2 linked regions of the Diceros bicornis minor genome follow. The main gene of each other region encodes a partner of the protein of the gene in region 2 in a complex. Links are inferred from orthologs where the notes say so. Each region holds a gene or a part of one and is shown on either strand. Other genes may lie near its edges. The genes, in order: IGSF5 and LNX1.

Region 1 (15,245 bases), on a different chromosome or scaffold from region 2:
AGGAACCTCCATCGGCCACCAGCTATGGTGGTCAGCCAACCCCAGGTCCTCCCTTGTAGGAGTCTATCCACTTGCAAGATTTTTACTCACGCCAACACTCTCCAATTCCCCAAGCCATGTCTCCAGCCCTGCCCTCTTGCTTTCTCTCTTGCCCTATGGACCCTACTCCACCAGGCATCTCCGTGGAAACGACTGGCTGCCGCCCGGGATCAAGAAGCTTCTCTTCCTCTACTCGCTGCATCCCAACATCTGCAAAACTGAAATCCTTCATACCGCAGCACGTCTGCCAGCCTCGTGGCTCCCACCTGTCCTCCATAAATTGATCCTAAACAGAAGGACCATTCTTCTGTGATGGCTTTTTCTCGGCTCCCTGGAAGAGTGGCCGGTTGTCTCCCTGGCGTAGAGGACGTGGCAGGTCTGCACCAACCAACCCCTCTGTCCCCCCCCTCTGCTCTTCTCCAGCTTGCCTCAATGCAGCATAGATCCCTCACCTTCCCCCGTCTCTTACTTACCACTGGAAATGAACAGAAAAGCAGACAATTAAAAGTCAGAAGGAACAAAGGGAAATAACGTGGAGAGCAGTGGATGAGAACTGCCCTGGTGAGGCGGCTCTGAAGGAGAAAATGGGAATCAAAACACATCAGGGGTTGGGACCGTCAGAAGGGAACTGAGAAGTGAGGGAGGGGCTCCCCAGGCAGGTCTGAGCTGCCTGCCGAGTCCTGCTGACCACCGCAGGAGGTGCCAGCGTCACTGCCCTGCCACCACCACCACCCAAAGCTGCTCTCCACGTGGCAGCCTGAGGCAGCTTCTCAACACACCATTGGGACCAGGTACTCTCCCCTACCTCCCACCCCCACACCCCAGACTTTGTTTAAAATATTTCCATCGTTTGGGATAAAGACCAGATAATCCTTAACAGTATCTTCAGAGCCTGCTTAATCTCACATCAACTTCCTTTCCAGTTTCATTGTGCCCTCAACTCTGCCCTCTGATCACCTGACCAACTTGAATGTATCAAACTCACCAACTCTTCTGGCCCCAGGGCCTTTCCACAGGCACTGACAGCATGGTGTGCCAGTCTTGCTTACTCCTCAGCTCCTGGCCATGTCATCTTCTCCTCAGGGAGCCTCCCCAGACCATCCTGTTTAGGTTAAACTATCCTATAACAGGCTTTCGAGTCAGTGACGCAATTGTCACAGTGGTGTTTTTATATAGATTTTTTTTTTGTCGATTAAAGCTGGTTCCCCTACTAGGCTTTAAGCTCTTTGTTAGCAAGGACTAGGACTGGTTTTGCCCATCCCTGCATCCCAGTGCCTGCAACTAAATGGCAGTGCACATAACAGACCCTCAGTGACTGTTCACTGAGTGAATAAACTAGGTGGTCCAGTTCTATATAATCCATTACACTGGGGGCCAAGTAAAGAGGAGAGGGCAGGCTGGAGCCCTCTGGGTGCACATGGAGGTTGCCCTCAGCTACTCAAAGCCAAGTCTACAAACAGGGTGTCTTTACCCCAAGACTTTCCAAGAGGAAGCATCCACAGGGCTCAGTCTTCTGCGATGGACCCCATCCCCGGGGGCTCTAGAATGAGCCCATAATACTCTCCCTTCCCAGAACAGCCGTCTCCAGGCCTCGACCAAAGCCATCCCTGCCTTCAAAACAGACTTTAGGAAAAATGTCTCAGAAAAACTATAGACCCAGATTTTGTCAGTTTCCCACTAAACCCCTGGAAAACACTTTTGCAACCGTGGCTGAGACAGGCCCGTCTGGAGCCATCTCCCTAACACATGCACAGAGCGTGGTCTGCTCGCTCCACGATGAATCCCCAAGCTCTACACAAGCAGGGACCGTGCACCCCTGTCCACCCTGTGAACAAATGTTTCCAAGCACCTACTAATCGCTTAGCACTGCCTGCTATAAGGAGGGGCTTCTGAACATCTCTGCTGCCCCCAAATGCATTTTACCACCACAGCCTGGGACCCAGAGCCTTAACATGTAATACCCAAAACCAAAATTTTCTAAACAGTACTTACTGCATGTAACACCTCTGATAGTCCCTATTCTATTTTATTCCATTTTAATTGTTTAACGCTGTCATGGCCAGAGTTTCTTTAAAAAGAAAAAAAAAAAACATTATCCAGCCATCTAAAATAGGGTTCATATGTACAGAAAGTGCAAAATTTATCTATGCAGTTAGTAGTCAGGATCACGGTCACTTTGGGGGGAAAGGGATAGGGAGTGACTGAAAGGGAACATTTGTGGAATGTTCTAGGCTCACTATTGACACAGGAAGGTGTTCGGCTTGTGAACATGTACCTTCAGGATCTGCACACTTGTCTGTGTGTGTATTATTCTTCAATACGATGCCTTAAAAACTCTGCAGTAAGGAATACAGGAGGAGGACCCGGAGGTTAAAATCTAGCCGGGAAAACAAGACAAACGCACCTGAAGCAATGAAATCTAGACGAGACACAGTGAAAGCAAAGCTGGGGGTCCAAACTCCAGTTACCTAAGGCCCCCATGCCCGCCCACTCCTCTTCCTGATCAGGAGAGCCTGGCCTCGGACACCCTGGAGTCCACTCCGACCGACACCCTGGGAGGGTCCCACGACGAGGAGGAGCTGTGGGGGGGTGGGAATCACACACAAGGGGCCCCTCACCCTGTCAATAAATGGAGCTGGGATTATCACCCCAAAAACTGCAAGGTCAGGAAAGCTTCCAGGAGGAGGTGATGCTGAGTTGGGCCTTCCTTGAAGACCAGATGGAAACAGAAGAGGAGAAAAACCAGGCAGGGGAGGGACATTTCGACGAGAGCGATGACATGTGGGAAAGTACTGAAGGCATGTTCCCAGGACGGCGAGGACCCCAACAAAGAGGACTGGTGGGGTCAGATGCACCTGGAGGACCGCTCCCGGACTTGAGGGGACGTGGCAGGAAATGGACCCCACTCAAGAGGGCGCGGATGGAAGGGGACGCGGTGGGGAGTGCCTAAGGAAGACTCTCTGGAAGCCGTGTGTCCTGGCAGCCTCATCTGGGGTTCCTTATTGCCCACTCCAAGTGGACGCCCAGGAACATCCCTCTGAGCCCCCGTGATCCTTACCTGCCAGCCCAGCCAGGACCACCAGCACGGTCAGGATGCCTTTGCAGCCGCTCTCCATCTCCGCATGTTCTTCCTCCCCTGGGAAACAAAGCCGCAGGTCACAGTGCATCAGTGATGGGCAGTTACTGTCAGAGCATGTGCAGCCTCCCACGGTCCGCGGATGGGTTAATCAGAGCTTCTCAGCATGGTCAGTGGTACCAGCCTGACCTGGGAACTTGTTAGAAAAGCAAATTCTTGGACCCACCCCAGACCTGCTGGATCAGAAACTCCGGGGGGGAGCCCAGTAATCTGTCTGAACAACTAAACAATCTTCCGATTCTGGTCCATGCCCAACTTTGAGAATCACTGTATTAAATGATCTTACTCCCAAGGCCATGTATAAATTATGAGATGCAGATGGTATACCGTTACCGCTGAATCACTGACCGAGGTGTCTGCGTGTGGGTTTCCTGCTATGCATTTCAATCATGATACTTTCATCACTGAGAAAAAAAAAAAATCCTGCCCATAACGAGTTTACATTCTAAAGGGAAAACAGGCAACAAAATAAAGAAATAGATCATAAGCCTACTGGAAGATGGCAAGAGGTATGGAGAAAAATAGAATAGGGAGGAGTGTGTGTCAGGGGCCATGTGCATGGGGTGGGCTGGCTATCGCTTCAAATAAGGAGGGCAGAGAAAGGCTCCCTGAGAAGGTGCTCCATGAACAGTGAAGGAAGTGAGGTGACAGCCACGTGGCTATCTGCAGAAGAGCTTTCCAGGCAGAGGAACAGCAGGTGCAAAGGCCCTGGGGTGAGACTGTGCCTGGAGTGTTGGAGGAACTGCAGAGAGGGCTTTGGGGCTGGGGCAGAGTGTGGGGTGAGTGGAAGGAGGAGAGATCAGGGTAGATGGAGGAAGGCCTTACCGGCCCCTCAGCAGCACATGGGGATACTGTCATGTAGGCCTCTTGGCCCTTCCTTCCAAAACATTTGTTCTTTGATAACCCTCCTGCTCACCCTCCATCTCTGCATTTTTTCTTTTTTTGTGTGAGGAAGATCAGCCCTGAGCTAACACCCATGCCAATCCTCCTCTTTTTGCTGGAAGACTGGCCCTGGGCTAACATCTGTGCCCATCTTCCTCCACTTTATATGGGACCCCCGCCACAGCATGGCCTGACAAGCCGTGAGTCCATGCACACCCGTGGTCCCAACCTGGGCCACCAGCAGCAGAGCGTGCGCACTTAACACTACACCACGGGGCCGGCCCCTCTGCATTTTTTCTTTTTATTTTTTCCTTCCCCCCCGGGACAGGCCTGTCCAAGGCAGTCACCAGCACTGCTCGGTCCGGCTGGAGGACTTAGAGTTAAATCACCCACTGAACTTATGGGGAATTGTCTGCAAAGACAACTGAGGCTCCTGAGCCTCAGGGAAGGGTCTCTTTATTTCAAACATTCCTCAACACCGCTGACCTGTGGAACACAGTGAGTGGAGAGCGGTTTTCGCTTTCGCTTTGGAGTCGCGCAGATTTCACAGCCCTGCTGGGGGGATCCACCTAGTCCCTCCCAAATTTGGGGTGCTGGGTTCCATCAGGGACGCGTGTGGGATTTTGTAATGAGCGGACACACTCATCCAGGGCTCCGGTCTCCCTTAATCTCTCACAGACCGTGGGAGGCAGACCCCACAGCAGCTCACAAGCAGAAATACAAAATCTGAAGTAGGCGCAGGTAGATAACCTCCACACCTCAGTCCAGGAAACGCCCTCCTACAAGCTGCTGAGTAAAACAGAGGCAGTGTGAAGGATCACATGGGCTCAGGCCCGTGACCCACACTGTTACTGGGTATTCACAGGTCCTGAGAAGGAACATGGGGTTTCCATCACCTCGTTTCTCTCATATCTTTGGAAAGCAGAATTCAGCATGTGCGCTGAACTATAACCACTCGTGTGCGGTACTGCGAGGTTCAAAGCATCTGTGCTGCAGTGCATACTGTCGTGGAACCCTGCCCCTTGCAATGATCTAAAACAGACCCTGCGAATCCCTGAACATATGCTGTACACAAACCGGACTGAAATCACGGCCTTCCAAGATTGATTCAAGATCCCGAATTACGAAGAGCCGAATAAATCATTTACTAATTTTAAGGTTCAGTGAACACAACTTGACAAGTCAGTTGCTTTACCAGTCACCTGGAATGCTAGATCCAAGCACAGGATGAAGGAGAAATGGAACCGTCGAGTGATAAAAGGTTACACCTCTTACTAAATCAATAAATGCAAAGTGTGGACTGGGCATTATTGAAACCGTGGCAACAGCTTAGAGTCCACTAGGAAATACTTCTAGCCGCTGATAAGCAAGGGAGGCAGGCTGCAGACGAAGAACAGATGACCTAACTGTCAAATGCTCCATTCTGCCCCTGTCCTCACACACCACTCCCCTATTATCTGTATGAGAGAATGAAGGACTCCATTTCTAATGGGCCCAGCAGAACTCACAGGCGGGCAGCATAGGAACCCAGTTGCAAGGTTACTACAGATGTGGATTTGTGCGGGGATGGTATGTGAAGGGTGTGTGCAGGGAGGAACTGTCATAAGGTTGATTTCAAGTTTCAACTCAAATCAGGCAAGTTGCTTTAATTGAATGAAGACCTATGCTGGGTAATTTGCAAGTTAATATCTCTATGCAGTAGTTTGATGGGTCTTTGAGGTTTACCTTCTTGTTCCTTCATTATGGAAGACTTGCATTACCTACTTTTAGTTGAAAAACTGTGAAGTCTTCTTAAAATCTTAAATCTTATGAAATAGACAGGATTTTAACCCTCAACCAATTCCTTCCTGCCCTGAGAAAGCAAAATAACTCAGACTGTCCATCTGGACCCACCAAGCTAGTCATCACAGGAAGAAAACTGCTGAACTTGATCATCTCACTTAATTACCACGCACACAAACCCTTCCCTGGGGGTTCTGAGGAATAGCTGGATATCATAAAACCCAAAGGTGTGTGCCAACGTCCTGTTTTAGGCAACAGCACAAGAACCAAACTCTAAAAGAAAGGAGGCAAGTGCTTCTCAGGGTTAGTGAGAATTAGCAGCAACAACATCCACTCCACGGGCTTGCTGCAGACCTGCAGGCCTAATGGACAGGCCCCAGCATTCTCCTCCACTCCCTGAACCCCAGCTCTGTGCACCCCTACATCAGGAGGTGCCTCGGCAAGGCCTGCGACTGAGGGCCAACTCAGCACTTCCAGAGACGTCAGAGCCAGTCTCTTATCCTTCTCATTAGGGGGGAGAAGAACGGCATTTCAAAATCTGTCCGACGAACAACATGAGTCACAGAAATATTCCAGCATTTGAACCCTGACCTCCCAAACTCCAGCAGAGTCTCGGCTCTCAGCGCATCCCCAAGAACAGCTCCCCATGAAAGGGACACTCGCTAGATCAGAGATCGTCTCGAAGTCCTACACGCTCAGAGCAGCCGGCTCTTTTAATCTTTAACTTCTTGGAAGTTGGGAAACAAAGAATATGTGTTTGATCATCCCACGCTTTCCCTGGGAGACAGCCGATGGCCTCCGGGGGCCTGGTCCCCTGCTCCTTGGGAGGAGACCTGGTCCCAGTGAAGAAACCCACCAGACAAACCCCGCTGGGAGCCACACCCAGGAGCTCTCACCTCACTCAGGCAGGGAAATCTCTTCAGGACATCAGCGAAGGTTCTCGTCCTGTCTCCACACAAACGCAGGAGCAAATCTGTCTGGCCACCAGAGAATCTCGGCCCGTCCTCACCAGCTAACAGGAAGTGCCTCCCAAATGCTCCTGTCACGTCACAGGCTGGGCTATAAACCCAGAGGTGGCCTCCACCTGCCACAGGCTCCTCGCCCCCGGAAGGTGTGGGTGCCCCAGGGCGGCACATTTCCTGTTAATCATTAGCCAGCCCCGACCAGCAGCAGGAAGTCCGGCCCGGGTTGAGAATGCCAAGGCCGCGGGGCCAAGGCTGTCCTCCTACTCGGCCTGCCCTCCCTGTTCCTCCTCTGAGCCTTTCTCGAGTCCCACAGAGCCAAGACCAGAATGGGTCCCAAGCTGTCCTGCTGGTCGTCTTCCACCAGCTGGAGGCTGGCAGCTCCTTCCTGCCTGTGGGCGGCGGCCTGGCCAACCCTGCTCCCTCCTGGCCTCTGACACAGATCCCAGCGGCCGGTGAAGCCGGTTCCTTCTCCCAGCCAGGCGCCTCCACATCCACAAGAATGGGTTCTTTTGTGAAAGAAAAAAAAGGCCGAAGGGTGAAGTCCTCTGGAACGTGGCCACCTTGAGGAGTGAAGCGGTTTCCTCTGGCGTATTTGCACCAGAACTGTTGAGAGGTTTTCTGCAGCCCTCCCACACCCCACCCCAGCGCCTCAGAACAAAGGGACTTGGTTTTTCAGAGCACCGTGACAATTGCTGGAAAGACCATCTCCCAAAATCCTGATGCGCGGCACCGTTATTAAACTGTCTGCTCTCGTGCAGTTCTTTTTGAATGTCTGGCTTGTCTCCTTCAGTACGTTTTAATCTTGTCAGGGGACTCAGGGTCAAGGGTGTCTGCACAGGATAGGCACCAACACAAGGTGTGGGTCAGACATTTAGAGTAAGACCCTGAAGTAAATAAATAGGGGGAAATGTTGTGCCTTCCAGTTGAAGGGGATCAGAATATGCCACCCCAAAAATATGTCAGTTTGGCATAAAAGTTATTTTAAGCTGAAGACATTTGAGATTCAACAGATGTAAAAAAGCCTTCTCAGAGCTTCCCTTTTCTCACTAAAAGCAGCAAATTCTGGGAAATAAGGCTGCCATAAATTCCTCTTCAGGGTGGATCTACCCCCAGAAGGGAGAACGTAAATAACGTACTCCAAATCCCTTCTCCAAGAGAGTTTATGACCCAGAATAAGATGGAAAGACCACTCATACCTGTATAGACAAACATTATCACCAACTTTCTTATCTCTCATTCGTTCTTCTAAAAATCTATTTGTCTTTCCTAAATAAACCTATTTGTTCTCCCCTCTTCCATTTCCCCTGCTAAGTTAGGTATGTAAGCCTTTAACTCCAGCCATTTAATGACCCTGCTACTTCCTTTGTTGGTTCCATATGCATGCAGAATAAACCTTTTCTCCTGTTAAACTGTCTTTTGTCAGTTTAATTCACAGTCCCCAGACAGTGAACCCAAAAGGGTAGAGGAAAAGTTTTTTTTTTCCTTCTCCTACAAGGCCCTGTGCTAGGAGCTGGTCAGAAAAACAGTGAGCAAAACAGATAGACTCACAGAGTTAACATATTAATCAAATAATCTAACAAGTATACACAGGGTCATAGCACCTTATTCAAGCACTGTGTCCCTGATGGCCTAGCATAATTCAAAACTCAAATAATTGCAGAACAACGAACCACAGAAATAAAAATCTAAGGTGCATATAGCTCATTTTGGCCCTGATGAGCTTTTTTATTTTCTCAGCTTCAGTCCTAATATTTAGACTATCAGTCATCACTGGGAATCATGAGAACTGGCCTTCAGAGCACAGTATCACAGCTGACTTTCCTCATCAAGATTTCCAGCCCCAGCCTTAGCCTCAGCACTGCTACTGGAGAATATTGTTACAGCTTTTAGAAAATTTTAAGTTCTCATAACAACGAGTGTGTAGGGAAGGAAACAAATTTTTTCTCTACCCTTTTCAGTTCTGTGCCTGAGGGCCTGGAAATTAAATTGACAAAAGAGAGATTAAACTAGAGTTTGTTAACACGCGCAGCACACGTACCTGCAGGGGAAACACAGTGATGAGTAACTCAAAGAAGTGATTAGGACTCAGGCTTAGGTAGAATCTTAACAAGACAATAAATTCATAGAGAAGTGACAAGACGAAGAAAAAGGAGCTTAGGTTTTGAGGGGCAGCAAACTGTGGGCAGGTGAATATATAGGGGAGACTAATGGAAGATAAGGGTTGCTTTTGGTACAGTTCATTATGTAGATTCTGATAAGAGTGTCCAGCGACTAAGACCATTTTGCCCTTCCTGATACAAGAGAGGGGAGGACAGGGGGTTTGTTTGGTGCCTGCTCTATCATCTTCAGTTTAAAATAATCCTTCTGCCAAAGTGGCATATTTTGGAGTGGCATATTCGGACCCCCTACAAGTGCCATAACAAAATGCATATATATAACAATAATAACCACTCTCAGAAGGTCTGTAGCAAGTGGAGGGCCCCCACTGCCAACCCTGGGCCCGGGGTTCTCCTGTCCACCAGCTCCTGAGCAGCTGCCTCTGGGACCAGAGTGAAAACACGATTTACAAGTCATTGGAAATGCAGCTCTGAAACTGTGTGATCCTGAGGAACATTTTTTTTTTTCGAAATTTGGGAGGTTTGCATTATTTCAAAGTTTGAGCATAAAGAGAGATTTTACTAATATTTTTAGCCTAAGCTATTTTAAAATCACAAAGTTCAGATTCACATAAAACATATTCACACTGTGATTCAAATTGCAGTAAAGTCTCTGAAGGAAGTTTTGATGAAGGGGGCGGGGTTCTCCAAGGAAACTGGGTTTGGGCTCAGCTGGTGGGTGGGCAGTTAGGAGCTAACCAGGTAGGAAGGTGGAGGGGCCGGCTGGACCACCCTCTGGGGCAGGGGGAACAATGTGCGTCTAAGCCTGGGGGCAGATGGCAGGAAGCCTGGTTCACCAGAGAAGTTAAAGAGGCTCATGGGAACGGATGCAGAGAGCTGGGAGGCAGAGGGGGCTTAGATGAGCAGGGTCCAGCCCAAAGGTACAGTCACAAGTTTAGTTTTTATCTTCAAATATAAAAAGGAATATCAGGAAAGCAGTGAAAAATTTTGAAATAGACTAAGAAGGTTACTGAATTATCTGATAATAGGGCCTGAGCTGTCTTTGAACGACTTAAAACGCTAGTTCATGATGGTTAACTTTATGTGTCAACTTGACTGGGCCACAGGATGCCCAGATATCCAGTTAAACACTATTTCTGGGTGTGTCTGTGAGGATGTCTCTAGAAGATGTTAGCATTTGAATCGATTGGTAGACTGAGTAAAGCAGATCGCCCTCCCTAATGTGGGTGGGCCTCATCTAATCTGTTGAGGGCTTGAATAGAACAAAAAGGTAGAGGAGGGGCAGATTCTCTCTCTCAGCCTGGCTGTTTACCTAAACATTGGTCTTCTGCCCTCAGACATTGGCAGTCCTGGTTCTCAAGCCTTTGGATTCAAACTGGAATTTATACCATCAGCCCTTCCCTTCTCAGGGCTTCAAACTTGTACTGGAACTACACCACCAGCTTTCCTGGGTCTCTACCTTGCAGAAGGTAGATCATAGGACTTCTCAGCCTCCATAATCGCATAAGCCAATTTCTCATAATAAATACATACATATATATATATAGGTTCTCTTTTTCTGGAGAACCCTGACTAATACAGAGTTGTAAGAAACTGAGAGTAATACAAATGATTCTAGTACACAGAGATGCAAATGAACTTTGGTGAGGATGCAGTTGATTTTTGCCCTGCAGATTTTGACCAGTTTTGCATCTATTTGTACAGTCAATGTAGGGGATATGTTCTGAGAAATGCATCCTTAGGCGATTCTGTCATTGTGTGAATAACATAGGGTGTACTTACACAAACCCAGATGGTATGGCCCACTACACACCTAGGTTACATGATACTAATCTTATGGGACCACCATGGTATATGGGGTGGCTCGTCATTGACCAAAACATCGTTATGCAGCACATGACTGTAAATGTTTCAGCATTCACGATGGCTTATATATGTGTGTTCTTTGAATTCTTCATTGAATCTGTTGTAACATCTCACTGGTTCCCTCAACTAATTAAAGAGTTAAATAAGATCTTGGACATGTGTACCTTTTGGATTTGTATGAGAGCCATGATTTTAAATCCTTTCACAGGAGCCCTTTGAGGAATTTAAGTATACAAGTAGCATGATCTCTAGAATATTTAGAAAATATTAAAATATAAAGTAGGTTAACTCATATAAGAGGCCCCACATTTAACTGTTTTTCACCTACAGAAATAGCAATTTCATATTAGGCTCAACCTAATATAAAGAAGAAAATAAAAGCCATCTGTATTCTCAATATCACCCATAGATAAGCATTATGAATTTTTAATGAGTAGCTTCTATTATTTTCCTTATTACAAAAGTGATACATATTCACTATGGAAAAATTAGAAAACGCAAGGAAGCAAAAAGGAGGAAAATTTGGGGGCCGGTCCCATGGCCTAGTGGTTAAGTTCAGCACACTCTGCTTCGGTGCCCTGGGTGCGGATCCCAGGCATGGACCTACACCACTCGTCAGCAGCCATGCTGTGGCAGCAACCCATATACAAAATAGAGAAAGACTGGTACAGATATTAGCTCAGGCAGAATCTTCGTCAAGCAAAAAGAGGAAGATTGGCAACAGATGCTATCTCAGGGGGAATCTTCCTCACACACACAAAAAATGGTGGAAAATTTTAAAACAGATTGCTCTTAAGACCACCACACAGAGACAAGCACTGCTAACATCATGGCAAGTATCTGCTAAAAAATGTTCATACTAGGGACCGGCCCCGTAGCTTAGCGGTTAAGTGCACACGCTCCGCTACTGGCGGCCCGGGTTTGGATCCCGGGTGCGCACCGACACACCGCTTGTCCAGCCATGCTGAGGTGGCATCCCACATACAGCAACTAGAAGGATGTGCAACTATGACATACAACTATCTACTGGGGCTTTGGGGAGAAAAAGGGGGAAAAAAGGAGGAGGATTGGCAATAGATGTTAGCTCACGGCTGGTCTCCCAAGCCAAAAGAGGAGGATTGGCATGGATGTTAGCTCAGGGCTGATCTTCCTCACAAAAAAAAAAAAAATGTTCATACTGTACCTGCTGTTTAGTAACTAGATTTCATTTACTTAATATACTACAAACCTCTGCCCCCAATCAGGAAATACATTATTTTTAATGACTAAACATAGTTCGATCAACTGAAGGTCGCATCACTTACCTTCACCTGTTCCTGCTGTTGGGCTTCACATCGCTTGAGGTGGTGAGCACCATCACAGCTGGGTCAGAGAGTATACGCCTAATGATTTCCTTAGGATCAATTCCAAAAAATGTAGTTGCTATTATGGAGACAGTAAACAGATCCGTGATTGCTGGGGGGAGGGATAAATAGTCAGAGAAGAGAGGATTTTTAGGGCAGTAAAACTACTCGGTGTGATATCGCAATGGTGGATACATGTCATTATACACTTGTCGAAAACTTTAGAATGCACAGCACCAAGAGGGAGCCCTAAGATCAACTATGGACATTGGGTGATGATGATTTGTCAACGTAGGCTCATCAATTGTAACAAATGTACCACTCTGGTGGGGGATGTTGATACTGGGAGAGGCTATGCCTGTGGGGGAACAGAGGGCATATGGGAAATCTCTGTACCTTCTGCTCAGTTTTGCTGTGAACCCAAAACTGCTCTAAGAAATAAAGCCTATTTTTTAAAAAAAAAAATGCAATTGCTGGGTCAGAAGACACGCACACTGTAAGAAGTCTGAAATATCCTGGATTCCCAAAAATCTCTCCAAGATAGTTATATCGCCCCTAGCAGCTAACAACCAATGTGATCAACACCATCCGCTATTTTGATTGTTGACCATTTGAATGGCAAAAAATAAAAAAATTCATTACTGTTTCAGTTATAAAAGGAATGTGTTGTCAATGTGGAAAACTCATAAAAATTCACAGAGGTCATTAAGCAGAATCCAGAACCTTGCCACCCAGGGAGACCTCTATAAAGTGTTTGTCATAAAACCTTCCAATCCCTTATGTATGTGTACGTACATCTACGTGTCTATGAACGTGTATGTCTGTATGTCATGTATAATTTTTAACTTTTTATTGAAGTATTATATATAATTTTATACCCAAGGTCTGCATTTTTCACTTAACCCACTATACAGGGTTGAATAGTGTCCCCAAAAATTCAAGTCTACTCAAAACCTGAGAACGTGACCTTATTTGGAAATAGGGTCACTGTAGATGTAATTAGCTAAATAGAGGTGAGGTCATACTAGATTATGGAAGGCCCTAATCCACCATGACTGGTGTCATTATAAGAAGAGAGAATTTGAACACAGAGAGAAGATTACATGAAGACACACAGGGATAAGGCCGTGTGACCACAGAGGCAGAGATTGGAAAGACGCATCTGTAAGCCAAGAAACACCAAGAATTGCTGGCAACCCCCAGAAGCTGAAAGACGCAAGGAAGGATTCCTCCTCAGGCCCTTCAGAGGGAGCATGGCCCTGCCCACACCTTGATTTCAGACTCCTACCCTCCACAAATGGAGAGAATAAATGTGTGTTGTTTCAAGGCACCTAATTTGTGGTACTTTGTAACAATAGCCCTAGGAAACCAATACACCCACTTAATCAAATGGCCTAAATGTGTTTCCATAAATGTATATATTCTTACAAAATAATTTTAAGTGGCTAAAAAGTGTTATGTTTTATGGATGTACCATCATTTATTTAAAGAATTCTTTGTTATTAAACATTAAATTACATCTATATTTCAGCTACTAGAAATCTTTTCCTTGAACCACCATATATAGTTTCACATATTATATAGTTAAATATAATGTTGTCTGTGCAAGTTTATATCCTTTTTAGTTTAACACTATATTATAAGCATTGTTCCATATCATTAAAAACCATTCATGAACATTGTTTTAATGGCTTCATAATAATATGCTGCAGTATGATACATAACATCATATCATTATAAGTATATCAAAGTGGCTGTAAGAACACCCATGTGGTTAAACATTATGTTGTTTCTAGCTTTTCAATATTGCAAATAATACTGAGATGAGTGTATTTATGTATATAGAAGGTTGGGGGTTTTTTTTCTTTTATTTTGCATTTGGTACTGTATCTTACAGTAGGCTCTTTTAATTAGAATCATAAGTCAAAACACTAATCACTTTAAAATTATGAATAGTTAAATTAGTTTCCAGAACTATGCTGACTTACGATCCCACATTAAGTGTCTGAGATGACTTATTTCACCGCACCATCAACAGCATTAAATATTGTCATTTTTGTGAGTGTGGTTGACTGGGGTACAAAGTTAATAAATCCCTCTTTAAGTAGGAATTTGCAAAATACTCTCTGTCCACTACACACTTTAATTCACAAAATCCTAGGGGGAAAATCGACTAGGACAACATGTTCTTAAAGTTGCAAGGGCCATTTCTCCTCCTTGTGTAGGAATGCCTTTAACAGCTTTATTGAAGTTATCTTTAATATCAACCATATCATTAGAGACATAATTAGCAATTTTTGCCCAGGGCAAACAGCAGAAATTCCACCCTCTATTTAAACCAACCCAAAACTTAGTGGCTTAAAATAAGAACAATCATTTATTTTGCCATCTGGGCAGCACTCAGCGGAGATGGCCTCTCCTGCTCCGTAGTGTCAGCTGGAGCAGATCCTGGCACTCGAGGACCCACCTCCAAGACGGCTCATTCACAAGGCTGCAAAGTTGGCCCGGGTGTGGCTGTGCTGAGGGTCTGCATTCCTCTCCAGGTAGAACTCCCTGTGGGACTGCCTGGGCTTCCTCACAGCAGGGCAGTCGGGTTCAAAGAGCAACCGCTCCAGTAGACAGAAGATGGAAGATGCTAGTCTTTTAAAGCCTGGACCTGGAAACTGGCAATGTCACTGCATTTGTTCTCCGTTGCTAAATAACAAACTACCACAAATGTAGCGGCTTAAAACAGCACCCACGTACTGTCTCACTGTTCTGCAGGTCAGAAGTCCAGGCAGGTTTGGCTGGGTTCTCTGGCAAAATCAAGGTGTCCGTCATGCCTGGCTCCTTATCTGGAGGCTCTGGGAACGAATCCACTTTCGAGTTCATTTGGTTTGTGAGCTGAACTCACTTGTTTCTGGCTGTAGGGCTGAGGTCCCTGCTTCCATGCTGGCTGTCAGCCGAGGGCCACTCTCAGCTCCTAAAGGTCACCCCCTCCATCTCCTAAGCCAGCATTGAATCCCCTTTCTGCTTCAAATCTCTGACTCCCTCTCATGCTGCCAGCTGGAGAAAACTTTTAAAGGGCTCGTGTGATTAGGTGAGGTCCACTTGGATAATCTCCCTTTTGCCCCAT
Region 2 (15,327 bases):
AAATTTGCAAGGGCCCCAAGGGGTAAAAAGGGCTCAGATAGAATGGCTGAGTGTGTGTGTGTGTTGTAGAAGACGTAATACAAGTATAACAATAACACTTAATGAGGAGTTTGAAAACACTAGGTGATTCATGCGTTAACGTGAGTATGCAGGAGCCTAACCATGCAGCGTTCTATTCAAAAAAGGCCACATGACTGACAAAAGCAGTCATAAGCAAGTTATGCAAATCATCTCAACAGATAGCAATGACATATTTAGACCTCACCATCACGCGTGTGCTGTTGCCACGCACTGTGCCAAGAAGCTATTAAAGAAAATTCTTGGAGAGTTTCCACTCTGCTGTTGGTGAAGTCTTTTGTGTCCCAGTGACAAATGCATCAAACACAAAAGTCAAATAAGAGTCACCGGAAAATCATGGTGGAATTTAAGCCCACACCTTCCAAATCACAAATTAGTGATGTAAAAAAAATGTCCCTGGTTAATTGGGATGGACAGAACCTACTGCCACTGTGAGAAGTATACTAGTCAATCCATCATGTCAAGGAGCGTGGCTCCCTAGAGAAGGGGGGAGAAGTTCTTTTAGGAAGACAGAGGAAGAGGGCAGGAGTGAAGAGAATAGGAATAAAGAGACTATCGTAAAAACCGCAAATCTCAAATATGGAGGTCATCTTGTCTACCCTCTACCTGAAGGAGGACTCCCTTTTCTCATCTTCTTTTTAGAATATAATATAAAATAAAACATAGTAATTATATCTATTTAATGAGCACTTCACTAGGTGCAAAAAACTATGCTGGGTACTCTACATATATTTTCTCATTTAATCTTTAAAATGATCCTATGAGATCAGTGACATAATCCTCATTTTACAGAAGAGTAGATGTGCTGCTAAAGAAACACAAATCCTCTTTGGCATTCATTCATTCATTCGTTCAGCAAACACATACCAGGCACTAAATATACCAAAAACAATCACTTTCAGTGACAGGGAACTCACTGTTCCCAACTCATTTTTGCCAAAAGGCAACCTACTGGATTTTTGGACAACTTTAATTCTTAGAAAGTTTTTCCTTATATTGATTTGAAATATGTCTCTGGGTAACTAAGCTATAGGTCACTATAGTGTCCTCGCATCACTTAGAATAAAATGAGGTAAGAGGAAATGGTGAATGCAAGCAAGTTACAGGAGACAACCAACATTTTCTGTTTCTGATTTCAGCTCAGTCCAAGTTTTTGTACTCAGCAACTTGTATGGTTTTCATGTTAACCCTTACTTTAGGGGGCTAGTAAATGGTTAAATCCCATTAACCCAGGAAGAACGATGTAGTCTTTCTTCCAAATGGTTTTGAAAAGCCTTTGATATGTTGGAGGCACTGTCAGAGGACAATACATTTGCCACCCACATAAAAGTGAGTCTATGTGGTGCCAGCACATGAATACCAGGAATAGTTACATACCGCCAGGAGGTCCATGAATACTGAGGCAATGAGGAGCACACATTTTAGAGCCTCCCTCATCTGTCCTCTCTTGGCAGCATCTTAGAGAGCGGCCTTTTAAGCAATCAGAATCCTAGCAGACCTTCTTTTCTCCACTTTAAGTGAGGAATTCAAATCTAAAAAGGAGACCAGGAAGCCAGGAATCACTACTCCAGGAAAATCCACTGTTTATTTGCATCGCAGAATCCTACTGTCCCCAGTTCTGCAAAGGACCAGGTATTTCAACTGGCAGCTACCCTATCCTGGAACTCCAAGATAAACAAGATAATCTTTGTTAACAGGTTTTCCGTCTAAGCCTTTGGGGGCCTTTTGGGAAATCTGTTTTGCTCAGAGAGTCTTTGGCCCTCAACTTACTACTGTTTCCATCATGATTATATTCCAACTGTAGCATGACCTAAGAAGTCTAACTGTAACCAACATAATAATTGTTTTCTATGATAATATAACAGGAGTTAACGTTTACTGAGCACTTCCTATATACCAGGCACTTTACATGAAACCATCTCAATTATTCTTCACAACAGCACTGAGTTAGGTAAGTATTCCATTTTCCAGATGATGAAACTGAGACAAAGAGATACTAAGTAACTTATTTAGCTTAGAAATTCATGGCAGGACTGGTTCTGAAACCCAGAACTGTCTGATTCTACCCATTATGCCTTCCTTTCAAGAAAATAATATTGGTAATAGCTAACATTGTGCCAGGTACTATTCCAAACTCTTTACTTATTTCAACTCACTTTATCTTCACAATAAGCCTATTTTATAGCTGAGGTCAAGTGAGGTGGAATAACCATCCTAGGTCACACGGCTAGTACAAGGTTGAGCTGGGTTTTGAATCTAGGCCGTCTGATGTCAGAGACCAGACCACTATTGTAAAGCAGTAGCACTGTTCCACCTAGAACTGAATAAATCAGGCTTGTATTTCCTGGTGAGGCATTGCCCCCTCTCCTGCAGTCAGTCTGACCTACTCACTAGGCATGCCGCCCATCTAGCTTCTGTCACAGGACGCAGGGCGGGTGTGAAGTACGCTACTTCAGCATCCCACATGTGGGAAAAGGTGAACAAGGAAACTGATGGACAGGGAGGTTGAGGTTCTTCCCCAGGATCCCCTAAGCAAGCTAGTAGTAGGTTCAAGGTTATGAACCCCTGGCCTCAATCCACTAGGCTGTTACCTTGCTCTTGAATGATGAAAACCTGCCTTATCTTTTCAGGATAAGATGAGACCTGGAGAAGGTCCCAGGGGCCTGGGAACACTCCTGCTCTTAGGCAATGACTCAAGGTCATCGGAGGGCACAGGATATTCCATTGGGCGGGGCGGGGGGGCAATCATATCCAAAGGATCCACAAGTCCCCCTTCCATAGTACAGTACAGGCTCCAAACTGGCTGCCTCCTGCTACCAGTGACTTGGCATGGTAGCTCGCCAGGCTGCGGTGAAGGCTATTTATCTGCCAGACTGGAGCAGACCAAGCTCGGTCTGCCCTGGAGATAGCACGATTGAGAGCAGAAAGGGCTGCCTGCCAAGTCAGATGACAGCAGATAACAACAGGACATTTCCCCCGAAGGTCTGTGGAGGACCACATTTTGTGGGTCTGTTGTGGGATGAGATCCTTGAGGTGGGGAAAGGCAGGAGTGACAGCAGTGGCCGGAAGCTCCTAGACATGGCCTGGGAGGCTGGCGGAGACGAGTCTGCCTGGCCTGTTTAATGACATAGTTTAAGCATTCTCCTGCCTCCTGCCTGTTTTCTTTCTCCAAACTGTTAAGCTTGGAGTTAATTACTTACAATTAATAATCATAATGAGAACGATCAGTGGTCCTAACAATTGCAACCACATAAGATCATTTATCTCAGTAGGATCAAACTATCGCCTACAAGCAACCCAGGAAAATGCCTTCAAGAACGATGGACCTAGCCTTTATTTGGCACCCACCCGGCACTAGACATTGGTCGCTCTATGTATGTTACTTCATTTATTTCTCATGACCACTTTGTGTCGTAAGAGATTATCTCCTGTTTTACTGTTGAAGAAACTGAGGGTCAGAGAAGTTGAGTAACTTACTCAAGGATGTAAATGGAAGAAAGAATATATTTTTCAATCAGGCCTTATTGCCACTTGAACCAAGAGATGGAGTTACCACAGGAAGGGAACCACTGTGGACTTTTTCACTTGTTTGGAAAATACTCATGTGCAACTTATCCAACAGACCAATTGCATTCTAGATAACCTGACCCTAAATTCCAGTCTTCGTAATTTTTTTCCTTTCTTATATCTGGGGCTACAGCATCCACAGCTTTGTTCCTTTAATAGCCAGGGGCTCTGACATATAGTGATGAAATGATTTGTTTAATCATAAATTAACTATACAAAGGTAACCCAGAGGGAACGCAATCTTGTAGCGAGATTTGTGACTTTGAAGACACATTTTTATCTGGAAGATTCAGGATCTCAGAGATCTTTTTCTCTCCTCTGCTGACAAAACTCTGAACCAAGTAAGAACACTAGCGTGGGACAAGCCATAGCCACCACTCAAACACACCGGCTCAGGGGAAAAGAAGAGACACAAGGGTCAGTTACAGAACAATACAAACCTCCAAGGAGTGAGAGAGAAATTGGCAACAAGCACAGGGCAGATTCTCAGTGGTGATAAGGAACAGTCTGAGACAAAAATCTTCTGAGCTTGTTTCCATTTATACTTTTGGAGAATTGACATGCACTTTGAATTTCTGGGAGGATGAATACGAGCATAATTCCTAACAGGTTATTCTCTTGCAAACATATTTGCTAATTGAAATCTCAGAAAAATCGCCAATGAAAAATCCCTCGCAAGTTGATTTCTCTCCCCAAGTTTTCCAGCTCATCCTAGCAGGGAACTAGGTTTGGAGATGGTTTCTTTTCCTTTCTCTAACAACAGCATTGTGTGTAGAGTGTGGCTACTGGGCTGACTAGAACAGAAGTAGTACCGGCTGTGTGATCAGGATTAAGAAAACAAAAATGGATCCTAGAGGTAAAATTACTTCAAGTCAGGTCCTAGCAGAACAATCTCCTCGGTATATTTGCCATCAAAAGAAAAAGAGAGGAAAAAGTGGAGGAGTTCAGAAAAATGAAAAATCAGACCTGAACTTACATTCTTGTTAAGCACTGAGGAAATAATCTTTACTTTAACTGAAGCTCAGCACGCAGCCAGTCCAGGTCTGAATATGAACAATTCTAGTCCAGACTGCAAAGTGATTTTAAAAAGTGTCCAACCAAGAACAAAGAAAACAGTAGACTTTTTTTAGAGAAGAAAGAGGGAGGAGAGAACTGGAGTGGAGGGCTTCTGAGGAGGGCAACAGAAGTTACCCATCTAAGTAACAGACTTGGGGGGAAAAACAAAAACTTTAGGAACATCTCACAGGTTTAGATTGAAATTGCCTCTGGTAAGATGAACGCAGAGAGTAAGGCAAAATAAGGCAAATAAGGCAAAAATAAGACAACTCCGAATTCAGTCAGTGCTGGCCTCCCAACCCCCATGAAACGGGCTGAACAGGTCTGTACCTTTGAGTCAAGTTTCAAAAAAGTCTCCACTCCTGGGTTAAAAAAAAAAAAATCAGATTAACTTCCCAGACAAGCAGAGGCTGGATTAATGATTAGGAGAAACAAAAAGGATTAAATATCTGGCCTGGAAGGACTTTCCTGTACAACCAAAATGTCAAAGGCATCCCTCTACTCTTCCCTCCCAAAAGGGCTTCTCCCTTTGGGACAAACACCCAGGGCTGAGCCATTGAGTTTATATTTTTCATTCAAATTCCTCATTCAGATCCCTCAGGGGCCAGTGGTCTAAACGCCAAGAGAGAAAAATGGAGGTTTCAGCTCACCTTTTCAAGTATCTGGGGCTCTCAAAGCAGCAGCAGCCTCGAAGCTCTCATGCCTTGCGGATGAATCCCACAGCTCCCTGGGCTGCCTGAGCAGTGAACAGCCTCAACCTCTGTGTACAGGTGCCTAGAGGAAGGAGGAGGGCATTGGTCGGTCGGGAGCAGGAAATGTGTGACCTCACGGAAGCCTGGACTGATAAAACATTGCTGGGACCTTAGCTATTGAAACAGCCAGTAGGTCCCGCCCGCCTGTCATTTACCTGAATACCTGCAAGCAGGTAGGTGGTGTCCCTGGTGGACAAATGAATCAATTAGAGCAATTTGCCGGATGGAATTTACTTTCTTTCTTGAGCACAGCACGTGTCCAGGCCCGTGGACAGATCTGAATTTATAGGCCTGGTTGCTTCCCAGGGCCCCTCCTCCCACCACCTCCCAAGAGCTGCCTACAAAAGAGTTAAAAAGGAAGTTTAAACACCGAAACGAGACGGTAATTTAGTGGGCAAAAAAGGAAGTGTGTGAAGATTGACTGCTTGGAAAATATGAAATTTACCCCCACATGCCTTTTTGAATGGTATCCATTTGAATTCCAAGTGCTTCTCTGTTCCAACAGAATAACAAATTGGAGGTGACATTTCAAATTCATTTTTTTTTTTAAAAAGAAATCTAAATATGGTATTTGTCAGCAGTTTCGAAGTCGAGTTTTCAAACACTTTTTCCCTACCCCCCACCCCCTCCCAACATCTTAATTCCATGTTCAGGAGTTTGTAAAATTTCAGTCCTTCTGACCTCAGCTTGCCTAGCAGTTAGAGTCACGTGGAGGTTACAGTTCACTGTAGGCCTGCAATTAGGAGCAATTTAAATGATTCAGATTTGAAGGATAGTACAGTAATAAGGTGGCAGCGTTGACTGCTGTGAGAGCCAGGAAGGAGGAATCGGAATTGTTTCTGTCCCAAGCTTGGTGTGTGACCCTGGGCAAGTCACAGTGTTGCTTCAGCTTTTCCAGCAGACAGAGACCTACAACTCAGCCGGCACCACAGCGCAGCTGTGAGTGATTACCAGGCCTGTTCGACTCTTGGGCATTTTTCAGAGGATTGTAAACAACTCCTATCCTTGTATTAAATGTTGTGTATTTCTGCGGCCCCCTTCCGGCATCTCTGGACAGTTTATTCACTCTCTGGAATGTACTACCTGGAAAAATTGTGGGCTCTCCCTCTAGGGTGGGTGGCCTGCTTGCCTAGAGAGATATTTTTTTCTCTTGAAGAAAAAAATGTTGAAATTCCTATTTTTTCCCCCTATTCTGTCTCTCTCTTCCCCTCTTTCCCCTCTTCCTGATACTGGAAATACTTTGGTTCCACATGTTCTAACATTGTACTACTTTAGAGGTTTGGGGATCATTTGCTTGGTTGGGGTTTTGGCTGGGGGAAGGGGGGAAAGAAGGATAAATGGGAGGGAGATGGGGGAAGGGGGAGGAGGGAGGGAAGGAAGGTCTCAATTCCATTCTCTTGGCCTCGACATTGACTGGGTGCAGCCAGTCATTCAATACCTTGTAAAACAACCAGGGAGGGAAGGAGGAGAAATTCTAGTCAAGGGTGCTGGTGTGGTGGGCTCTGGATACTTCACTTGCCGGAGAGCTAGCTCCTCTCTCCTCTTAGCCGACAGCAGACTGCTCTCAACTACCCAGGGAACTTGGTGGCTCTGAAGAGTGTTGGAAGCTTAAAAAACAAAACAAAACAAAACAAAAATCCCCCATCCTCATTTTTATCCAATAGAAACTAAGACAGGTGTGGCTACCCCTTTATTATTGACAAGAGCAAAAAGATGAAGGCTGCAAAGCTTTCACATGCAGGTCTTTTAGGAAAAAGTACCAGTCCAACAGTTTGATACTGAACTGAGAAACACCAGCACAACAAAGGCTTCTCCTTCCCTGGACAGGGTGTCCTCTGGGAGAGGAGGAGGAGCAGAGTGAGCCTGCCAACCTGATGAATCATCTAGAAGGCCTTGCCTCCAGCAGTCTTTGTAGCAGCCTGCCTACCCTGTGTGTCAGTCATGCCTCACCTTTTTCCAAGGGCACCAGGTCTGACTTGGGAGGCAGGAATCACAGACAGGTTTTTTTTTGGTGGTGGTGGTGGGGTATTTGCAGGGGAAAAGAATTTGCAGGAAGTGACAGTGCATAAAGCTTTATCCAAAGGCCTCTCAAGGCTACAGGGTTTCACTTGCTATATTCACATATATACAGCCATCTGCATATATAGTCTGATGAATAAAAATTAAGAACAAGAGTTGACCCAGGAGTGGAATTCACTCCCAGGGATGGTATATAAAAGAAGAGAAAAAACTAGATGTATTTCACATAGTCGGCCATCCCAAGTGAGATGCATTTGATTCTCCTGGATTTAGAATAATCTTTAAAGGTTTAAAAAATCAATATGTGCCTCATTATTCCGTTAGGGCTGTTGCATTATTATGGAAATGATATTTCTTAAGTATTGGTGAAAAGATATAAATAAAAATTATAAAAAATAATTATAAAAAATTATAAATAAGTGTTTAGCAGGTGCTACTTACTGTCTAAGCACTTTTTACAACAACCCTGTAAGTTAAGCACTCTTTCTGTTTACTGCTAGGAAAACCAAGGCGTAGAGAGGTGAGAACTTGCTTAAGCACAGCACAGCCAGCAAGTGGCAGGGCCAGAACAATTGTAACTGCTGGAAAGAAAGGGGGGAAGGTTCTGATTTCATGCTCACTGGGCAACTGCCTGGGTACTAATCGAGGTTCTTACCTACCCTCTATTCAGAAGCAAGTGTCTTGTAGAAGTAGCCCTGGGGTGTGTAGTTTCTGGGGAGGAATGTCTCCAATTGCAAATGAATGAGTAATCAGGTTTATGCACTGAGTATATATATATAGAACATACATACATATGGATATATTTATACGTGTGTTTATCAGAAAACACACCTGGAAATCCATCACCCCTGGGTGCACACTTGAAATCATCTTTTGGAGGCCCATCAAACCAACCTCAAGAAGGGAAGGCCCCAACTCAAGGGGTCCCGCCAGAATGATCGGTTGTGACTCTCTATGACATCTTTTATGGTCATTTCTCTCTATAACTTCAACAGTCTATCCCTTTAAAATCTGAAAATCTTAGCAGAACGACCATAAAAACATAGAACAACATACAGTTGGATAATATGAGACAATGTAAAATTAAGCTCCAGTACATGCCACTGCCAAGTGAGGTGGTTTAGACCAGGGTTGGCAAATACTAGACACACACTGCCCCATGCCCTCCTCGCATACCATTTTCACTGTCATTGCTAAAAGGCCATGGCAGCCTTGAGCTCAGAGGTAACCTCGGAATCTTCACAATGTAAGTCCAAGCACAGCAGCAATTTCTATCCCTCCTTTGACAGTAAGTGGGAGGGATAATCAGGAAAGGAAAAGGTTGGTGTTGGCTGGTGCCATTGAGGAAGATTCCACGGAGAATGGAACATGAATTGGACCTTGAAGGATTTGGAGAGATGGTGAGAAGGGCAACCCATTCCAGGCAGGGCAGCAGCACAGATGGAGGCAGGGATGACCCCAGCCTGCGTGTGGTGGGGAAGGAGGGGCGTGGTGGGGGAGGAGGGGAAAAATGATTCACCCTGCTGGGGTGAAGAGGATCCATCACACACTAAATTTGGACGGGTAAGGTGGGACCAGATCATAAAGAACCTCAAGGGCTGACTGTTTCAGGTCCTCACATTACTGCTGACTACTTCTCTCATGATGATTGAACAGCTTAAAAAAGAAAAGAATGAAAGAAATTTAGTATCTTGGGCATGGGGTAATTTGTTAAGAGCGACAGTGTTTTCAGTGTTGAGCTAAACTTCCGTGGTCTGCCATTTCGGCTACCATATGACCATCTTTCTCTTTAGAAGCAAGCCGCCTTTGCAGTCAATATATCCTGTAAATTTTGTTCTTTGGAGAGGCAGGTGGAACGTGTTAGAAAGCTCTCTGAAGTCAAGGTTGGGCCTGTCCTCGTTAACCAGCCAGCTGACTTGGGCTTTTTGATTAGTTTGAATTCTTTTATGTATCTTGACAGGGAAGTCTAAAGGGGGAGAGGAGGCCTCTGTTCAAAGCTCTTTCCTTCCAGATCACCACAATGAAGGTTGGCATTCTCAAGGATTCCTCCCTGGCGATGAACCTATTGCTAAGACCATACCTCGTGATTGTAAGAATTACTTTGCCCTTGTTTGCTTCCTTTTTTTTTTCATGGCATATTTGTAGAGTTGTCTAAGATGACTGAATGCCACAACAAAAGTGAACATATTCCATCTGATTTTAATAAAAGGCACCTCTAGAAAAAACCTCTTTGGCTGAAAGTATTTAGTATTATGAAATGGAATTGCTGTACACATTCCATCATATTGGCCTCAGTTTTTTAAAAAAACTAGCTTAGCTCCAAATCTTTCATTGGCTAATTACAAGTACTTAGCATGATGCAAATAAGCAGATCCCAGGAGGGCAATTATGGAAAATAATAGTAATAATCACAAATATCAGCTGATGTGATGGATGCCATCTGGTTCTGTGTATGTGGAAGAGATTACATTTTTCTCACAAACTCACAGCCCGCATGTTGCCTGGTTTGCAGAGGAGTTTCTAGAATACTCAGTGGATCTACAGGTTAGGAGCAGACACTTCTCTGGTTTGTGTGCTTTTTGGAGGAGAGGGAGCACATCAGTTACTGGAGATGGTGCGTATTTTATGAAGGTTTACTACACAGATTTGTGGCCAGCACACTCTTCTTTAGCAGGAAAAAAAAAGGACTTCGTTGTTTCTGCCTCCGTAATTGTCACAAGGCCTGTATTCCACAACTGTAAATATCTTTATATGACTCCATCCCTGCATAAACCAGGTAGTTTATTCAATTTTTTGGTGATGGTTATTGCTATTTTGAAGGTTGTCGTATCTTTGTTTCTTCTTGGTTCCTTTATATATAGCTACTATAGTTGACCCAATACCATATATCAAGGATGTAAAATGTCTCTTCTCCTTGTTAACTTTGGCCTCATCCTGACCCTTCCAGCATCCTTGACCTCCTCAACTATAAGGACATTTACCTTTATTCTTCTTAAGCTGCCCATTCTCAGGGCCACACCTGGGATCTCTTTATCACCCAAAAATCTTCTATTTCAAAAAAATCTGAGAATGCTACTCTCTTTTGTATTCTCTTAACCATTCAGATTTTTCACTCCCTTACTCAAATTTTGCCTTCTTTTCTGAACTTATTGTGATCCCTGGTTCCTGGACTCATGCAGGCTGCCCAAGAATATTCTTTCCCTACTCTTTTCACTTCAAGCCTATCTGGCCCAGATCCCACTTCCTTGCCAGCATCCTCAACTTCCTAATGGCCTGGAAGAACCATGGCACCAGACTTCTCTCTTCCTACAAGCATGAAGATGGGTGCCACTGTATATGTATGCTCTGCAATGCCAGCTGCACTGGTCACTCTCCTTGGTAATCCTGGTCAGTGCCTCTTCCTTTCCTCTCAGTGGTCATCCCACCTTCAGGTCATTTGCCTTGCTGGGCATGCGAGGTTTTTCATGATCTGGCCCCTGCCTGCTTATCAAGCCTCATCGACATCTCCTTATCCTTTCCATCCACAGAATACCACCCGCCGCTAGCCCCCATGCCCTTGTAACACTGTTAGAAAGCAGCACTCCTTTACACCCCCATTTCCACAGGAAAGTGGTTTCCAAAGCAAACTCGGACCATGCTCCCTCCACCCTTGACTCACTCTGTCCCTGCCAGTCCTTAACTGGGAAAATGGAGAACCACTGGGCAAGCTTGGGATTTTACTCTTCTCTTTTCTCTCTTGGGAATAAGCCAGTTTTCCTCTGCTGCTCCATGCTCTGAGTCTTTCCTGGGCAGGCTCCTGTTTGAAAAGCTGCCACGCCCAGATCTGGGTGCCTTCAAGCTCCTTTTCCTTGTTCCAGGCGTTGTTCTCCAATTTAGCCATTTCCATTTAAAAGGTGATATTTTGGCCTCCATAGTTACTCTTTTGAATTTTCTCAAATTATCCCAAACCCAGGTGGGAAAGAGAGGCACTGTTTATTGGGATCCCCCCTAAAAAACTGACTTCGGTTCCCATAATAACCAGCATCTTTCACTTCCAGGCTCTTACCCATGCAGTACCATCCTAACATTTATTGTTCATTTACCATTGCCTGGATTGATGTTATGCCCTTTTACACGTACTCTTACAGATTCCTGGGAGAAATCTCATGAGCCAACGCTACTTAACAAATGAGGAAACTGAGTCTCTGAGATGTAAAGTAACTTGTCCAACGGGCCCAGCTGGTTCCAGGCAGACCTGAGACTCAGGCATTACTCCTCCCTCAGCCTGGCAAGCTCCTGCGCCATCTTCAGGGCTCAGCTCAAATGCCATCTCCTTTATAGAATCTTCCCTGACTTCCCCAAGTAGATAACCCTGCCTGCTCTGTGCTTTCCACACACTCTACTTCAGCAGTTATTTTACTGATTTTAATTTTTTACAGACTGTCTCCTCTCTAGACTGCCAGATAGTGAACATGACTTTTCACAGATCCTCAGGATTTAGCCCAGTGCCCAGAAGGAAAGTAGCCCAGTTCCTTTGATAAATATCAGTTAAAAGAACTAAAGATGACTGTAAGACAAGGGGAGGAATGAGGGAAGGGAGGGAATTCACATTGTTAGGTTAGATCTTGAGGTATCTCTTCTTTTTCCCAGGAGTCTAGGCCTGTAGTCTTTGGGAAGGGAAGTAACTTTATTACATTTAATTTTTGCAATTATGCTACAATCTAGACATTCATTATTCTTTCAGTCATTCGTTTGTTCACTTATACAACAAATTTGTTAAACACTGTTAATATGCCAGTCAATGTCAAGGATGAGAAGAATCTCTGTTTTCAGGAACTTATAGTCAATGGAGAAGCAGAGTTATAGACAAACAATTAAAGCACAAGGTGGAAATTAACGTAACGAAGGAGTGGGACAGCTGCAGTTGCATGAAAGAGGAAGGTTGGCTTGTTTCTTCTCCTTTAAAGGCTCCAAGTTGTTAAAAAGTACTTGCCCAAGTTCGCCCAGAAAGTAAATGATGGGGCCAACGTTGGAGTGTGGGTCCTCTAGACTTTATAGCCTGTAATCTTCCGGGCCCCCACACAGCCTCGCCTTGGCCCTTAGCCTTTAGGGCCAGGCAGAGAGGGAGGCCAGTGGGAACGGGGACCTACCATGCTTCCAGATTCTGTGTGTGTCTCCCTGGAGAACCTGAGACCTCTTACACCTCTACAGTTTTCATGAATGTAGAGGCGGGTTCTCTGAGTGGGTAGAAAGACTAACTACTTCTCACATGTGGTGTCAGAGTTATGTGCCCACAGTCAGGATTGGCTGGCACCCTGGGAAGAACTTGAAAAGGTCTGTGCTCTGCAGGTAACACTCATGTCTGTAGATATTTAAATGAATTGAAATTCCTTTAAGGTGGAGTTGGCAACTTCAGTAAACCTCTTTTAAAGATCCCCACCTCAAACCTCATAAGCTTTTTAAGCTTTGTGTAATTTAAATCCCATTTAATTCTATTTTTTGTATCTTCAGTCCTCAGTGAAGAACAAATTACCATTTTCCTCACAAGAATCCTCCACATACTTGCTGTCTTTTATGCTGTCTAATAGAGTGCTCTGTCCCAGCCTAAGAGCCCAACTTATTCAAACTTTTTCCTGAGGGAGTTGAAAATTCATAATAACTAGTAACATAATGTGACTCACAAAAAAATGTCCCCATAAGGGATGGGGTGGAAAAAGCAAAAGCAAGAGGAGAATCATGTTGCTGGCCTCCTCGGGTGTGATAAGCACAAAAGAAGCCAACTTTATAGGTGGGGAAGTGTTTTCCTTCCCAATGAACTTTCACTTCCATCCAAGAAAGGGCAGGTCCTCAAAAACAGGCATCACTGCCAAGAAGCCCGTCCTTTAGTTCCCCTAAGTCAAAGAATATAAGAAAGAGAATATCATGAAAACCACTCACCATTGATTGGAAGACGGCTCTTGGTCAGATTCTGACTAACAGAGTCTCAGCAAAGGAAAGTTCATTTGACTTTTCTCATACCATGAGCAGGTGAAGATGCTCCTTTTCAACTGGACGTTGAACCTGGATGAGTGCCTTCTCTTTTCAGCCCTTCTTAGAGCTGAATTCCCATGGGTAGCTGTCATTAATCCATGATTAGTTTCCTGGAATACACAAGGATAGACTTTCTGGTGGTCATGAAGCTACGTTGAGGTGGGGCAGTGGACGTGGTCCGGGCAATGTAGAGGGAGGATTTCTCCATGTTCAGTTCTGCTAACTCTGGCTCCAGGAGCAGCCATTTCCTCCAAAGGTGAGTGTGGAATCTGTACATCCAGTCCAAAGTTTAGATTATCACAGAGTAATGGATACTTTCCCCTCCTACTATCCTTTGCCAGTTATGAGAATTTGGGGTTGTTATCAATATGAACCTTTCCTGGAGTCCCCCATTCTTGAGTAGCTCAACTAATCCTGAATTGGAAATGTTGACTTCAACTGCAACCAAGGGGCCAAAGGACAGATGAGACCCCAGGAACTCATTCCTCCTGGGATAGGAGAAAGTCTGAGAGGAGGCCTGTATTTTGTGTTCAAACCCATTCAGCGCAGTTCAATGAACATTTAGGGAGAGTTAAGAGCTAGGAGTTAGACAGGTTATTAACCGGTCTGGGTAACAGAGGCCTCAGATCTCCAAGTTCCCTGTTTGTACTGTTTTAATTTGAGGCTTTGTCGATATCAGTGCCGGCCATCAGCCCAGGGTGGCCAGGCTGGTCCTTCCAGTTCAGGCTGTGCCCCTAACGTGATGTGGTTTATTTGGCAAGAGGAGAAGCCGCCCTTCCAGTTGTCTCTCACTTTCTCTGAGTTGCCCCAGGAGGTGGACTGAAGTGCAGCTTTGACAAGTCCTGCACAGATGTCCTCACACTCCCACACTAGGTGACTCTCACTAAAGTGTCTCCCCAGGGTGGCCAGTCCTTCTAGGTGATTTGGCTGCTCCTGGATCAACACCATTCACCCACCTCTGAACTAGCAGCTGGGACTACACTGTCAGTGTGGCACTAAGCCAGGTGTACCGTGGGATGCTTGTTCTTCAACGTAATGTAACTGCGGGGTTTTGTCAGAAGGGACAGTAGTTGTGCTAGATATGTCCCTTCCTCATCTCTGCCCCTAGAGACTGTTGCATATATCTTTGAACCTGAAGTTGGGAATAGATCTGTGAGGTTCCTGGTCTATCCTCAATCTATCTCAAGGTAGCATCTTCTCCAGGATAAAGGAACCAGAAACCATATGCCAGGGTCACCAACAGGTCAGTTCCAAGTGTCAGTCATTTCAAAGCCAAACTCTCCAAACTGATTACTATTATTTCTCCCTGTCCCCCATCCCCTCTTCTACAAATCTCCCCATTCTATACAATCTGTATACCACCTGTCCTCTTCATCCCTGCTAAATGTCTGTCTTCTGTTAGCACTATTGTCCTCCCACGGAAATGATCACATGAGATTTCATAAAAAAGCAAAAGTGGATCCTCGTTGGGAAGCCTTAGGATTCCGTTGGTGTGATGGAAAGAGGGACAGAGTGAGAAACAGAAATCAGAGTCTGTCAATGCACATGCCGAACTAATGGAAATGAAGTTACCCTCTGCAGCGATACAGGGATGGACCCAAATGTAACAAGTGAGCTCTGCTGTCTGAAATCTTGACAACATGATTAGGGGTTAGTCTGGGTCCTGTGAGAAACAGACGCAAAGATGAGATTAAACATGCAAGTACTTTATTAGGGAAAATGCATGTGTGAGCAACAATGGGACAGGAGCTGAGAAAGGTTGGGAGAGCACGTGGAGAAACTTGATAATGGCTTTGTTGAGTGAACGGACTAATGAACAAAGTACAGTTTGGAAAGGGAAAGAAAC

Evidence for each region.
Region 1: the proteins of LNX1 (region 2) and IGSF5 are in contact, whole or in part, in a crystal structure (PDB 3VQG), measured with the Mus musculus proteins. The link is inferred for Diceros bicornis minor from reciprocal best matches to the Homo sapiens genes LNX1 and IGSF5. Residues at the interface, in NP_001153049.1 of Mus musculus: Gln396, Leu397, Gly398, Ile399, Lys400, Leu401, Val402, Phe413, Leu416, Pro446, Ala449, Ala450, Ile453; in NP_001171358.1 of Mus musculus: Val367, Thr368, Leu369, Val370.

What each region holds. Positions count from the first base shown.
Region 1 is NC_080766.1:39,672,499-39,687,743, reverse strand, and holds the start of IGSF5 (immunoglobulin superfamily member 5), read right to left. Parts: upstream 6,784-15,245; 5' UTR 6,736-6,783; intron 3,176-6,735; 5' UTR 3,156-3,175; coding exon 3,098-3,155; intron 1-3,097. UniProt on the Homo sapiens protein: Provides, together with MAGI1, an adhesion machinery at tight junctions, which may regulate the permeability of kidney glomerulus and small intestinal epithelial cells. Mediates calcium-independent homophilic cell adhesion.
Region 2 is NC_080747.1:41,673,284-41,688,610, forward strand, and holds the start of LNX1 (E3 ubiquitin-protein ligase LNX), read right to left. Parts: upstream 5,476-15,327; 5' UTR 5,352-5,475; intron 1-5,351.